2 linked regions of the Drosophila melanogaster genome follow. The protein of the gene in region 1 interacts with the protein of each later gene in a pairwise test. Each region holds a gene or a part of one and is shown in the gene's direction. Other genes may lie near its edges.

The links. The genes of interacting proteins can lie anywhere in the genome.
Region 2: the proteins of PAN3 (region 1) and eIF4E3 interact in a two-hybrid assay, tested with the Drosophila melanogaster proteins (2 studies listed by BioGRID).

Annotation. Positions count from the first base shown.
Region 1 is NT_037436.4:3,067,703-3,075,359, forward strand, and holds the start of PAN3 (Poly(A) specific ribonuclease subunit PAN3), read left to right. Parts: upstream 1-3,430; 5' UTR 3,431-3,605; intron 3,606-4,844; exon of another isoform or gene 4,845-5,058; intron 5,059-5,378; 5' UTR 5,379-5,742; coding exon of another isoform or gene 5,743-5,776; intron 5,777-7,657. Other genes in the region: CG32486 (uncharacterized protein), read right to left, coding at 2,460-2,837. UniProt on the Drosophila melanogaster protein: Regulatory subunit of the poly(A)-nuclease (PAN) deadenylation complex, one of two cytoplasmic mRNA deadenylases involved in general and miRNA-mediated mRNA turnover.
Region 2 is NT_037436.4:8,225,642-8,232,161, forward strand, and holds eIF4E3 (eukaryotic translation initiation factor 4E3), read left to right. Parts: upstream 1-3,582; 5' UTR 3,583-3,740; coding exon 3,741-3,792; intron 3,793-3,857; coding exon 3,858-4,116; intron 4,117-4,182; coding exon 4,183-4,257; intron 4,258-4,311; coding exon 4,312-4,411; intron 4,412-4,474; coding exon 4,475-4,562; intron 4,563-4,619; coding exon 4,620-4,780; 3' UTR 4,781-4,927; downstream 4,928-6,520. Other genes in the region: CG7213 (uncharacterized protein), read right to left, coding at 6,323-6,515.

The DNA of each region.
Region 1 (7,657 bases):
TTTTCGATTCACAAAGTCAAACACGACAAAGGTCATACATTGATAACTGCTAGGAATCAAAAACTACACAAATCAAAAATTCGAAAAACAGTTTTGAAAAAAGACAAAAGCAACAACGTACCCAACACTGATAATAACTGACCCCACTACCTCTTAACTTACCATTTCAGGTTCACCCTTGTGCCAACTCAGGCTATCCATGTCCATTATTTAAATGATAACGCCCCTATAGCCAAGATAGAACTAGGGAAAGCCTTACTAATTGAGAGGTACAAAATAATTAGTCATGTAATCAACCTACAAGACTACAGCAGATGTATGGAACAATTCCATCTGACCATTAATAAATTTAACCCCGATTCCACGTTGACGGACTCCGTCACAATTTTAAAAACCAAATTAACCCAAGCCCAAGTAAAGCTCAAAGCCCTTACACCTTCATATAGAAACAAACGGGGTTTGATTAACGGATTGGGGAGTCTAGTAAAGGTGGTTACCGGCAACATGGATGCCAACGACAATAAAGAAATACATGAAGAACTTGACAATATAAAGAAAAATTCCGAAGTCAGTAACGACAATCTCCAAAAACAAGTAATGTTTAACAACGAAATACTTATCCGGTTCGAAAATATCACGGACCATATAAATAATGAACAAATTTTGATAAGTAAATTCTTTGATACCTCACAAAACAAAATATACAAACACTTAAACTTACAAGATACCCTTCTGGAAGAAATACAATATTTAAATAGGATTAATTATAACATAGAATTATTCATTAACCACCTAAACGACATAACAGAAAGTATGCTATTGGCGAAAATAAATATAATTCCCAAGTTCATCCTAAATGAACAAGAAATGGATAAAATAAAAACAATACTGGAAAAACAAAATATCACAGTCAAAAATGAACAAAGTATATACAATTTCCTACAAATGAATACACTAAATTACGAACAAAAGATTATTTTTAATATCAAAGTCCCAATTTTTAAACAACCTTTTCATACCCTCGCCAGACTAGTTCCATTACCAATAAATAACACATATTTTGTAATAACCCCAAATTACCTAGCTTATAATATTAATAATAAGAAATTTCATATGACCCGTAAATGCCCCAAACTGGATAATACATTCTTGTGCGACGAGAACTTCTACGTTGATACACCACAGAACAACACATGCCTGGAACACCTTTTGAACGGAGAAAACAGTTCCTGCGATGTACGGGAAACCGGCCCCATCACCGACGTGTTCGAGGCAGAGAGAGGTTACATCTTCGCATTCAACGTGAACAAACTGAAGGTATCCCTAACAAACGGCTCCGAGCTCTCAATAATGGGGTCAGCCATCATCAGATACATTAACGAAACAATACAGATTAACGGTATCGATTACGACGGCACGGTTGACACGTTCCCTGAACAGACGGATTTTGATCTTCCCCCCATGCGAAAAGTAACTAGGAATACCACTATTACGGTACTAAGCCTAGAAAAACTGCACCTCGAAGCCACCCAAACAATGGATAAAATCCTGGCCGTCCATCACAATACTATACAGCACACCTGGACACTCTACACTCTGCTCGGATTGGTAACGTTCCTAGCAGTCATCTTATGGCTGCACCGACGAACGAAACACATCGTCCACATCCACGAGGATCATCACGTACCAATCTACGCGTCATCCATACCTTCGCTATGGCCGTCACTTCGAACTGGGGGGGGAGGAGTTACCACCCCACCCCCTAAACCCCCACGCCTCTAAACAAATCATCGGACACTCAACCGGGAAGACGGCAACTGGAACACCGCATCCGGCCGAATGCTGACATTCCGGCCGAATGCTGACATTACACAAAAGTCGCACTGCAACATTGTCCCCAGCTAGCCAGCCACATGCCGAGTCGGCATGTTCATTATGCTTACAATTAAGAACCTATGTACTTATGTATAAGACGAAAACGGAGGACTCGAGTAGCCACTCTCTGACAATAAACTTCATACTGATTTTGAACTTCAAGAAAGTCAGTCGTATTCTTTATTGGAAATCTTCACACTACAACTATCTGCTGAAACTTAAAAACCTTCATACATTTACACATCATATCTTCACAAAAGGCTCCACCCTCGATCACGGACTTAACTCCCGCCCTCGCTCCCCCTCGCACTCTTTCAATGTTTTCAAGGCGAATAATGCAAGAGCGCCCCAGCTAGACGTCTCGCTCTCGCACAGCTGTGTCTTGCTAGGGTGGAGAGAGGGAGAGAGGTGTTTTACTCTTACAGCTGAGCTGCCACGATTTGTTTGTATACAGAATGAGGCGCACACACACACGCGCACTTGCTGTTTTTCTTCTTTCGCTTTTAAAGCTCTTACTTCCTTTTTTTGATTCTAGTTTACAAGGGCTTATAGTTCAAGCCGCTGTAAATAATCCAAAAACTCACCTGGTACATGGCCGTCTTGGGCAAATCCAGGCAGACGGCACAGCACAGGGCATTGGAGATGCGGTGGGCCAGCTTTTCGTGCATTCCCGAGGCGGCTGCGGCACTGGAAAGCAAGCTGCTGCCGCTGCTGCTGGTGGCACCACCGCCCCCTCCGTCCAACAACTGTTTCTTGGCCGGCGGTTCTCCGCTGCCCTGCGTGTCCAGCGGCACGCCCACCACATTGCCGCCGCCCACCGACGAGGAGGACGACGATGTGGAAGAGGAAGAGGCCGAGGAGGCGGAGCTGGTCGTGGCCACCGCCTGGTTGTCGCCCAGGAGCGGTAGGTTCGAGGACGACGGCGGCTGTTGGACCGCCGAACTGGAGGATTCCACCGACATGATTGGAAATTTTCTTGGAATAATGTTTGTTGTGTTTTTCTTTGCCACTCGCTTCGTACACAAACTCCCACACACACGACCACTAAACTACTACACACACACAAGCAATACCCAGTTTGCTCTCTCTCTCTTTCGCTCGCACACTAAGTATGGCACTTTCTTTCAATTGCCACCTTTCCCCGCTGTCCGTGTCGTGTCGTTCTCTTCTGTGTTCTTCCGTTCTGTTCTGTTTGCAAGCTTTTTGTCCGCCGACACGTCCGCTCGCCAAAAAATTTGTTGTCTTTCTAGAGAGTGTTGTGCGGTGTGACCAAATCTTATATTAGGCAAAATACTAGTATAACGTATCGATGTTATTGGCAAAGCCTATCGATGTTTTTCTATTGTCTGTGTTTCTCCAGCCCTGGTTGATCGTTAGCAGGGACACCATCCCCTTTACAAAGTAATAAAATAACAAATATTATTAAATTAACCATTTCAAAATAAAATAGCATTAAAATAATATAGCAAAATCTGCCTTCATATATATAATTTTACAAGTATATTATTGAAAACGAATCCATTCGTGTTTAATGTGCTGCCCTTATATCCGGCAGTACGGAACTCGTCACTCGCGAGATGCGGTCACACTGCTTGCGGCAAACGGAAAACATGTAAGAAATTAAATATTGTGATTTTGTCTTTAAAATGTACAAAAGTTTGACAAAACACAAACGGCAGGTTCTTTATGAAGTCACCTCTCGCAAAGTGAACTATGACTGGTCAGTGGAGGTACGGAAAACGTGGATTAAAGAGCGAAAAATCGCAGTTTTCTCAGCAGACATTTTTGTATCACTTCGCTGTGCGCTGTGTGTTTGGCATTTTTTGTGTTTGTGTGTGTGTGTGCAACAGCGGCATCAATTTGAAAAATAACAAAAACAAATCGTTGGCGTGTTGAACAAAAAACTATACGTATTTGCTATCTGGCTTGCGTTATAAGAACCATTTGGACAAATTGCGTCTTAAAAATTTGGTGACCAAGATGGCTTCAATTTCATTTTCGGTGGTGAATTAAAAACTTTAATGAAAATAAAAACTTAATGAATTGACTTTTAATTCACGTGCAATTATTATGAAAATTTTTGAAAATTAAAATAAAAATATTTCCAAAAACGTTGTAACAAAACTACACTTATAAATTGGCTTTTGGCTTGCTTAGTGAACTTAGTTAATTATTTCCAGCTGTTCCCACTCAAAAAACAAATCGTATACATATGTGTTCTTATTTCCTTTGCTCCTGCTTTTTCTCTTCCCCTTCTTTTCGTTCCCTTCCCCTTTGCGTCCTCTTCCCCTTTTCCTAGCCAGCTGTTTGTCGCGTTCCACAAATATGGCTGGAGTGTGGATCGCGTTTGGAGCCCAGGCTCCCACATTTCTCTATGTGGAACGCAACCTGTGGCCAGCTGTTGGGTCCTGTTGAACTCCCCCCAGCCAAAAACTTACATATGTATATGTATTTATTTTGTGTATATATGCATGTGTGTATAACAACGCCAATTGCTAGGGTTTCTGCAAAACGTCCTGGCCACTTGAAGGTGAAGTGTTACAATACCATAAAGGGGTTTCGCCATTTTTAAAAGTTATTTTATTACATTATATTCAATAATGGAACTTCAGTAGCGTGTCAAAGGATTTCTCTTTGAAAGAATACGTATTTCATATCCAGCATTTATCAGCTGAAAAACATGAGGGACTTTATACAATCTGTTAAATTTCTTTGCATAAAATGATATATATGTTAATTAAAATTATTAACAATAGCTAAAGTCCATGTAACCCCTTGAGCGCGGATGTTTTCCCAACACTCCTCGAATGGAATCCACATCCACTTTGTTGCACACACAGCTGGCAGTTGTTGTTTTTATCCGACCTCCTGTGCACACACACACACAGACGGACGTACATGTATACAACACTCGGGGGTCGTTTGTGGACTCCATTTGGCTTGGCTGTTGGATCTTCTTTGCGTTTTCTTCATTCGTGCAGCGCCAATCGCGCGGTGTGTGTGTTGCGTTTTTCTTATTTGCAAAATCGTTGGAAAATGGTAATGAAAATGTATACAATATAGCAACAGCAGCTCCTTTCAAGGAAATATCCTCATTAAAGTAATTACGGTACTGAAAGCAATTCAAAAGCTAACAATGAAACAGGCAATTAACTACACAATATGTTGGCTTAGGTTCAGTGTGTATGTATTTTGGATGGTGTTAAATATAAAACTCTAAAAATATGAGTAACCAAGTGCGAAATGAAAAAAAGTGTGGAAAACGTAAGCAAATATGCGCGCAATTGTGTCTGTATATGTGTAGGAAAAAGCGTCCTCGTACACCCACACAGACTCACTTTGGAAAATTTAATGAAATCCAAGCTATACCGCCCTCTCACTCCCACTCACTGTTGCGTTTCGGGATTTCATTTTGTCGCCCCGTTTTGCAAAAACAAACAACTGTTTTTCGCTTACCGTTACTTATTTTAATTCAATGTTCTTCTCTTTCTCGCTTTTTACAGTCGACGCGCCTCAATTGTTAATCATTTGCCCGAAAATGCATTTCAACTGCAAGAAACTTACGTGAAAAAGTGAAAGAAAAAAATATTTTCGAAACGTACAATGTGAAAATGTGTTATTTGAAACTTAGCAGTTAAGCGCGGATTGTATGTATTATTTAAATTTTTGTTTCAATATTTTCTACAAAATTATTAAAAAGAACTACAAAAAAATCGAAAACAAAACGAAAAAACCAAGAAAAAGTTTTTAACTCAGTGCACATTAAAACGAAAACAAACGCAAAAACAAAGCGTAACGAAACGAGAAGGACCACGAAAAGAAAGAGAGCGCACGAGGAATTGGCGAAGGCGGGAGCGAAAGAGAAAAATGTCAACGTTCTTGAACAATTTCTTCCCGGCAGGTAAGCAAAAACAAAGCCAGAAAAGCAAAGGAAATCAAACACAAGCAAAGACAGGGAACGTAAGAGCAGAACCACAGCTGGTGGCAGGAGCGTATTGGAGAGGGGTTGGCGGGGTGAAATGACCCCCCCATCAAACAAGTTGTTCATATACATAGTTATTCTATGATTGTAATAATAAAATTGGTATGTTTATGAGCTTAACTCAGTGATTAATCATAGATCAGCTTTCTTATATTGATCGGTTAGTACGTTATTTTATCTGCCCCTTTTTAAATCCTTCGCACGCCTCTGGCTGGGTGGCATTTAATTGAAAGTCACCTTTGGCATATTTCATAAGCGTTCTCACCGGGGTCATCCTGTAATTCAATTCTGCGCCTCTCTTGTTTTTTCTCTCCACTGGCGGCATGTAAATTGAATTTTCCTACCGAAGCGCATATTGTGATTATTGGCAATTACATGGACGTGACCGAGGAACAAAGGAGGCGAAGGAGATAAGTAGGCAGAGAATGCGAGAGTGAGAGAGAGAGGGATAGGGACGGGATGGAGTAGCGGCCTAGAACAGAGAATCTTGGCATAATCAATCTGCCCCAAAACAATCTATACACTTCCCTTTAATTACGTACATTCCTCGCTGCAATACCATCGATTATCGTTTTGTTATTCCTGGAAACGCTCAGATTCCCATTTACTGCTCCTTGCAACCCCTCTGGGATCAGGAACAAGTTCCACACACTCTGCATTCTCCTCATGCATTTTCTTTGTCCTGCGAAAGAGATGGTCATAGAGAGGCCGAGACAGGGAAACTCATACAGGTACGGCAGGAAAAACCACTTCCTCGCTTCCCTGCCCTTTGCCAAAACCAGAGCCAAAACAATGAGACCAGCACAAAGGCTGCTTTCCAACGGGCACTGAAGCTTGGGATACTCTCTTTAGGGTGACTTTGTACAGTGTAACATTAACATATTATCCCATTATACCATAAATATTTGATCGTCGAAAGGATATTGTACAGGATGTCCTAGGACATTCAGGGTGTTTTTCACAATCATTCTTTACCAAGTAGATTCTGTTTCACATTTCTCAATAAAAATAATTTGCACGAATAATAAAAAGCGGTAGCAATACCAATTTGGGATCGAAGGATTAAGCTAGATGGCTTTAAGCCATCTTAGCCAAGTTAAAATCTCCGAATTACAAGAAAGGGTATAACAACAACCAAGCAGTCTAAGTAAATTGGTAATAGGTGGCAGAGGGGGTTGGCTGGGCTGAATGAATGCACTCGCAAACCCGTTTGCAGAGCCCAAAATTCAGACCGATCAAAACAACAGCGAACCAGAATTACAGCGCTATCAACAATGGCAGCTCCTTTCGAGCTTTCGGTTCATCTGGCTTTCTGGCTTTCTGGCCTGCTGAGCTGAGGCCAACGGCAGCTGACGGAAACACATTGACTTTGGTGATACGATGATGCTGATAGGATGGACAATGGTACAATATGATGGCGCTGGTTACTTCTGGATGGTGCTGCGTGGCCTGTAGGTGCACTGGGTTACCTGTTGATGGCCCTGCCACTCACTCCTTCTTCTCCGCTTCCTTTTCCGACGGCGTCCGTTCTGGTCGAGTGCGGTGGAAAACTGGTTTACCAACTCGCTCCTTCCATCTTCGCTTGTCCCTCCTTTGTTTTGGGCCGATTGGGCCGAGCGTAAACAAGAGAGGCTCAGACGAAATTGGAGATCTTCAGCTCGGCAGTCTCTCTGTTTATGTGTTTTAATTTTTTGGCCAAAAGCGGATGGAAACACCTTGCCAGAAACCGGAAAAGTCCACATGAATACAGGAAAAGCATCAAATTACATTTAAACAGGATATCATGATCTTTTTCTTGTG
Region 2 (6,520 bases), 5.2 Mb from region 1:
CAGGAGCACACAATACGCACGCATTCGTGACGTGTTGTGCACAGCAGCTGGCAGGCGACAAAAGTTGTGTAAGGCAATGGGTGCCATTAGTTGGGATATCAATTTAAGGATACTTATAAGGATACTTATAACGTAAGAAAAAAGACTAGAGTAAACAATTTGTAGTTCTTCGAAAGAACATGACCATTTTCAGTTGTTTTCATTTTACTAAAAGTACTATATAATTTCAAAGGCTCTTAAACTATCTAACATAATAATACTATTATATTTCTTTAATATTCTTCCAAACTATTCCTTCTTACTATTTAATTTGTGTCGCCTGTTGAAAGTTTTTGCTTCCTGCAAAGAAATGCAGCCGCCTTTGTAGTTATGTGCATGATGAAGAAGCAGCTTTTTGCACCCCGAACCCAAGCTATCCCCTCCACCCGAATGGCATTCCAACCCCCACCCATCACAAACTCCCTCTGAAATGCGGGCTTACTGGCAGTCGACGCATTAAGTGAAGCACGCGGCATGTTGGATCAAAATGAAGTGCTGACAACGCAATGCTGGCAATGTCCTGGAGGACAGGAGGTCGGGTGCGGAGTTTTGGACAGGATGCGGCTGTGGCGGGGGGAGCGCCAGGTAAGCGTCTTAGCGCAGACCGCAGCCCTAAACAAAGGGATGCAATGAGGTGGGTTGGGTTGAGGTGGCCATGGCTGCCACTTCAATGGCTCAGCATTGCCATGTCCCCGCATCCTTTTTCCATTGCCCTTTAAAATCCCCCATCTGGCACCTACGCTTCGGCTCCAACGGACTGTTTAATTTACGCGCTGCTATTATTTTAATCTTTTGCGCTACACACAGCGTGAAATGACTTTCACCTGGCCTCGAGCAGCGGCTTCAAAGATATAGAAGCTATAGCTCCAAGTCGGGGTAGCCAGCGCCCAGAGGCGTCGTCTTGGTCCAAAGTATTTAGCACTGCAAAGAGGCACATATACGGACACCCATGGGCAAAATAATAGGAGAGGCTCAGCTGGATAATTTTGATAATCAATATATTAATCAAATATATTAATATTTCATATTATATTGATCAAATATAATATTTAAAAAATAAAATAAAAATTACATGTTCAATAATATTTACATCCAACCATAATAAATAGATAGCACAACACATTATCAAATTTTAAAAATAATAATTTAATGATTTATAATACAATTGGGTCAAATGTAAAGAAATTATTCTGTCAAACAAACATGAAAATGATTTGGCATAATAATCAATAACTATTTTCTAGAGCCACTAAAATTTTCACTTCTAGTGTGGCAATACTTAAGCCTCGTACACCTGTATCTTTTTGTCCAGGTGAGAGGGCCAAACGACAACTGGGGGCGTGGCAGCTGAAGCAAATGGGCCAGATGGAGCAGACGGACTGGGGGCTGCCGGAAGCTGCTGTCAGTTGGCTTGGCCTTAAGGTGCTGGATGTGCAGGATGTGTTGTCGCTACCCATCCCCGACACTTACCACTGCTTTTTATTGTTTTATGTGGCTGTCTTTGCCCGCAGTGGATGGGGCGGAGAAGCGGGAGTGGAGGAGAGCATCTCCTCCGCTTGCCACTTCAAGGTGCAAAATGTACGACGTGCGTCGTTCCGTACATCATCGCATGCTTTGTGCTTTCAGCACTGAAATCTTTTACAATCAACATGAAGCAGCAGCAAAGCAATTTTGTAGCCAAAAAAAAAAAACAAATAAAAAAAAAGAAGAAAAGACAGCCGAACGGAAGCGAAACGAGAAATGGCGGGGTAAAACCGGAGCGAACATAATGCCTCAAATCATTTTCATTTCTTGCATGCGCTTGTCTGCACAGAACTGCCTCAAGATGAGGTCCTAGCTCTTGGATACTTGAGTCCTTGGATCCTTGGCTTCTTCTTGTAGTTTGCCCCATTTACGCGCTTTTCCCCTTCGTTTTCCCCGGCAGTTTGTGGGCGTTTTTACTGCTTCGGCACTCAAATCGCTTAAGCTGGTGCGGGAGCCATCCCCCCATAGACTCCCTCAACATTACAATATTTTAAAAGATTTACTGACCATGTATTTTCAGCTCAGCCAGCAAAGTGCAAAAAGCTGTAAAATATTGCGTATACGCCAAAGTGCCACCTGAGAAGAGCGGAGCACAAAGTCAAATCTAACAAAGCATAGCTAAGCGTTTGCCGGCAACTTAACTCGAATGGGGGAGAAGCCCCAAAAAAAGAGTTGGAACTAAAGTTTTCCCTCTCGGGAATTTATGGGCTACCAACTCCATTTGGAGCAGGTAATTTTTAGTTATGGGATTCAAGGAATAAACAGGCATGTCAAAAAATATAAATATTAAAAACCAGCAGTAGCTGAAAAAGTTTTATCTATTGTTTAAGTGAAGAGAGGAAGGGAATAACGTGCGATACGAGCTTATAAAATGTACTTTAAGTTAAGATAGTCTAGATATTAAAACACTTTCTAAAATTTTACAATTCCTTGTTTTAACTTATTCTCCCAATTAACGAAACAAATTTGGAGCAGTTTTTTCCTCAAAAAATCCCAGAAATACGAGCTGGAGCAGCCGCCAAAGCTGCTTAAAAGCAAAAATAAATAGAATTTTTAAGTAAATTGGGGCTGGCAACTTATTTGGCTGCGAGAACCAAGAACAAGGAGCAGTGCCAACACTTTTGTTCCAAACTTGGCCGGCATAACTCACCCGTGCATCCAGCAGATGGAGATGGAAACGGAGATGGAGCTGGTGCGGAGCATCTTGGTTGGAGTGCAAGTTGGTGCCACCGCACCACCAGCCGCGCAACAAATGGTGCACATTACAAGGGCCCAAAGCTACTTTGCCAACGCCAAAGGAGCTGCCACGTAGCGACTCACATATTTTATTATCTGCACCGCCGCCAGGGGCGTGGTGATGGGTTCGGGCAGGGGTGAGGTGTGGGGCTTTGCCAAAGGACTCCGGCACGGAGGGACCCAGGACCTTGTGTGTGCAACAAGGCGCACAACTTAAGCGGCGAAGACAAATTTTTATTGCCACAAGCCCAAGTCGATTTCGATTATTGACTGCAGGCCAAACTGTTGCACAAGGAGCAGCCAGAGCAGACAAGAAAGGGGGATTCCTCTACTCGCTCCAGTTCCATTCCCAATCGTATCCGTCTTTCCGGCTGCCAACTTTGTGTGGCCGTGTCTGTGTCTGTGGTTGCTGTCGTCGTCGCTCATTTGAGTCACATTTTATTATTTTCGTGCATTTATCGTATGCTCGGTGGCATTTTATTTTATTAGCGTGACATTTCAATTGATAGACCCTCGGGCTCGTACTTAACCGACTCAATTTGATTTTGCAACCAAAATGTGCGAATGGGAGCTGCAATATCGGAGTGTTTGAATGGGGTGCTTAAGACTTGGATACAAGATTTATTGATGAAATAATGGCAGGATGTACCATAAAATATTTTAAATAATAAAGGCGATAAAGGGATAGAGTCTTTTGAAAATAAGCATATTACGCAACGAGATGGTCACATGACTTTTCCAATACTTTTTCATAACCAAGGTGGCAACGCTTTAGCTGTCATATCTTGATTTGTCAAAGTGTGCACTCATGTTAAGCCATTTTCATTAACGCTTATACTTTGCACGAGACATATACCATTTCAAGGAGTTTTTTTTAGTAAAATAAAACGAGAAAACTAACAAAAAAAGGTTCGTTTATCGCATTGAATCAATAAAAAACAATGGTGTACACCGGTTACGTAAGCAACGGATTGCAGAATGCTGAGGAAACTGGTAAGCTGACAGCAGATCTTTTTTTTTACGATTCATCATTCGATATGCGAATCGAATATATTTAGCATGGGTGCCGTATGGAGATCCCAATGACTGGTCACATGGTCTGGCAGTTTATGATGGTTTGGAACTGATGAGCGGCAATGAGGAGGAGTTGCAGCCCTCATTGAACCGGGTGATGAAAAACATCGACTACGACCTGGCCATGAAGCATCCATTGGAGCATACCTGGACTTTGTGGCACTTGGAGAACGATCGTACCAAGCGCTGGGCCGAAATGCTCGTCGATGTGACCAGCTTCAACACCGTTGAGGACTTCTTCAGGTCAGACACAGATTCATATATATATATATATATCCTATATATATATATCCTATTCTATTTCGACAGTGTGTACTACTTTGTGAAGCCGCCATCGGATCTGAAGATATTCAATGACTACATGGTCTTCAAGAAAAATATTCGGTGAGTTCTGAAAGTCTGCTCTTTGAACCTCGTCTTATGTATATAAATATTTAGTCCCATGTGGGAGGATGACACCAATAAGAACGGTGGTCGTTGGATACTGCTCCTGGACAAGGCCTCCAGGACCTATATAGATAAGATGTGGCACGATTTGGTAAGCCACATGATTGCACCATAATTATAAGCTCAATGCATTATAAAGCATTATCTCCTTTAGCTTTTGTGCATGATTGGCGAGTGCTTCCAGCACTCGGACGAGATATGTGGAGTGGTCATCAATGTGCGCAACAAGGCTAATAAGCTATGTGGGTATAAGACAGCATTTCACATTGGGGTATCTCTAAGGTCAACTTTCTTTACAGCCCTTTGGACGAAGGACTCTCGCAATGTAGAGGCTATCCTGTCCATTGGCAGGCAGATAAAGGAGCTGCTGCATCTGGGCATTATGGAAATCCAGTACCAGGTGCACAAGGATGCCATGGTGAACCATGGACCCAATGTCAATGCCATCTACACATTGTAGGCCAATTTCCAAGGGCGCCATAGTACATTTCCAACGATAGTACATAAGCCTTATACATTTGTCAAACTCACATTTTATCCCACGCGCACCAATGCTTTTCGAGATAGATATCGGTTGTACCATGAATAAAGTATTGCGTAGAGCAGTAGAAACAGTAACTACTTTCTGGCCACGATTCGTGTGCCGGTATCCCGAGGCTACTATAGTCGCCTCACGTATTCCCCGGCGGAGTGGGAAACACATACTCGCTTCACTACGATTATCCTTGGCGTCATAATTTTGGGTGACTCTGCCCATCCTTTAACGGCTGCCATCGCGCGCCAAGTGCTTATTCCTTCCTATGTGTGTGCGTCGTCCTTTCAGGGCTTTTGTCTTCCGTGCTGCTGCGCATAGCAAATTGTGACCAATTTATGGAAATATGCTCGGGAAGCGCAATATCCTCCATTTCCAGGGAAGTGCTGCTAGTGCTCCTAGCAGGTTTTTCATTCTATATTCCAAATATATATATATTCCATATTCCAAAAACTAATATTTCAGATAGTATTGCCGGTATTCCTGGAAATCTCAGCACCTATGATATGTATAATATTTCTGCTCACATACTAAATGATATTTGAAAGTGCAAAATATTCAGACCCTGAATTGTCATCACTGATGCCCATGTAAGTCGTATGATTTGATTGCTGTAATTTGTAAGGATTTTGCTTTTATTGTTTTATTGAATTATGAAGTGGCAGCCACCAAATGACTGGAACGTGATACACTGCACATGGGGTTATGTCAGTGCCAATGGCAGCGTATCTCCGACATCCTGTCCAACCTCCCGGCGATGTCACCCTCTTTCTTCTCCCTACCCGCCGCCGGACGAATCCTGCTTGATATGAACGGGATTCCTTGGCGCAGATGAATGCATGCAGTTATTCGGACCGTAATGTGAATTGATATGCCAACACGTACGCGGATTTGGAGGAGCAACTGATGCGGAGGACAGGTAACAGGTAACAACCTGGGATAGGGCAAATAGCTTACGCCCCGTGCCAAGCACTTAAAGAGCAATTTAATAACCGCTATAAAAGGTTTTCTCTCTTCGCCAAAGAAACAAAAGCCAGCCAGGGGGGATTCCCCTTCCTTTGGCAACGGCAAAAGCAAATAGAGGATAACTGGACAAACACAAACAGAGAATATCCGGCAAAGGGCAGCACTAATGTTGCAGACTTCTCTCCTATATTAAATGAAATGCAAGCTTAATTGAAAAACGCTGACTTGGCTGCACTGTAAAAAAAAAAATGTTATAGATAAAGCACGATCAACTTGATATGTACATTCTTCGCCCAACAATAATATTATTTATATAAAATATTTAAAATATAAATAAAAATCTTCGATGAGTATCAGAGTTCCAAATAACTATGTAGCATATATTTGAATATTTTTCAGTGTTTTTATTTTCGGATTTTCTTTGCCATCCTCCTGTTGCTGCAATGAGAACTACGTAGCCTGTTGCAATTTTAATTAAACAAAAAGCGTAAAATGTTTGACCATTTACACTGTGCCGTCCTGTTGGTCCGGATTCGACTTCTTTGGGACAGAGCTGCGTTCTCCCAATCGTCTTTGGCACGTAAATTTCCTTTGCCAACGAGCACGAAATTGTTTGGCCCTCCGCTGGTGTCCTGTCCGCTGGTGTCCTGTGTCCTCGACGCCCGAGTCCTGTTGTTGTCCTCGTGTCCTTTTTGCGCTGCA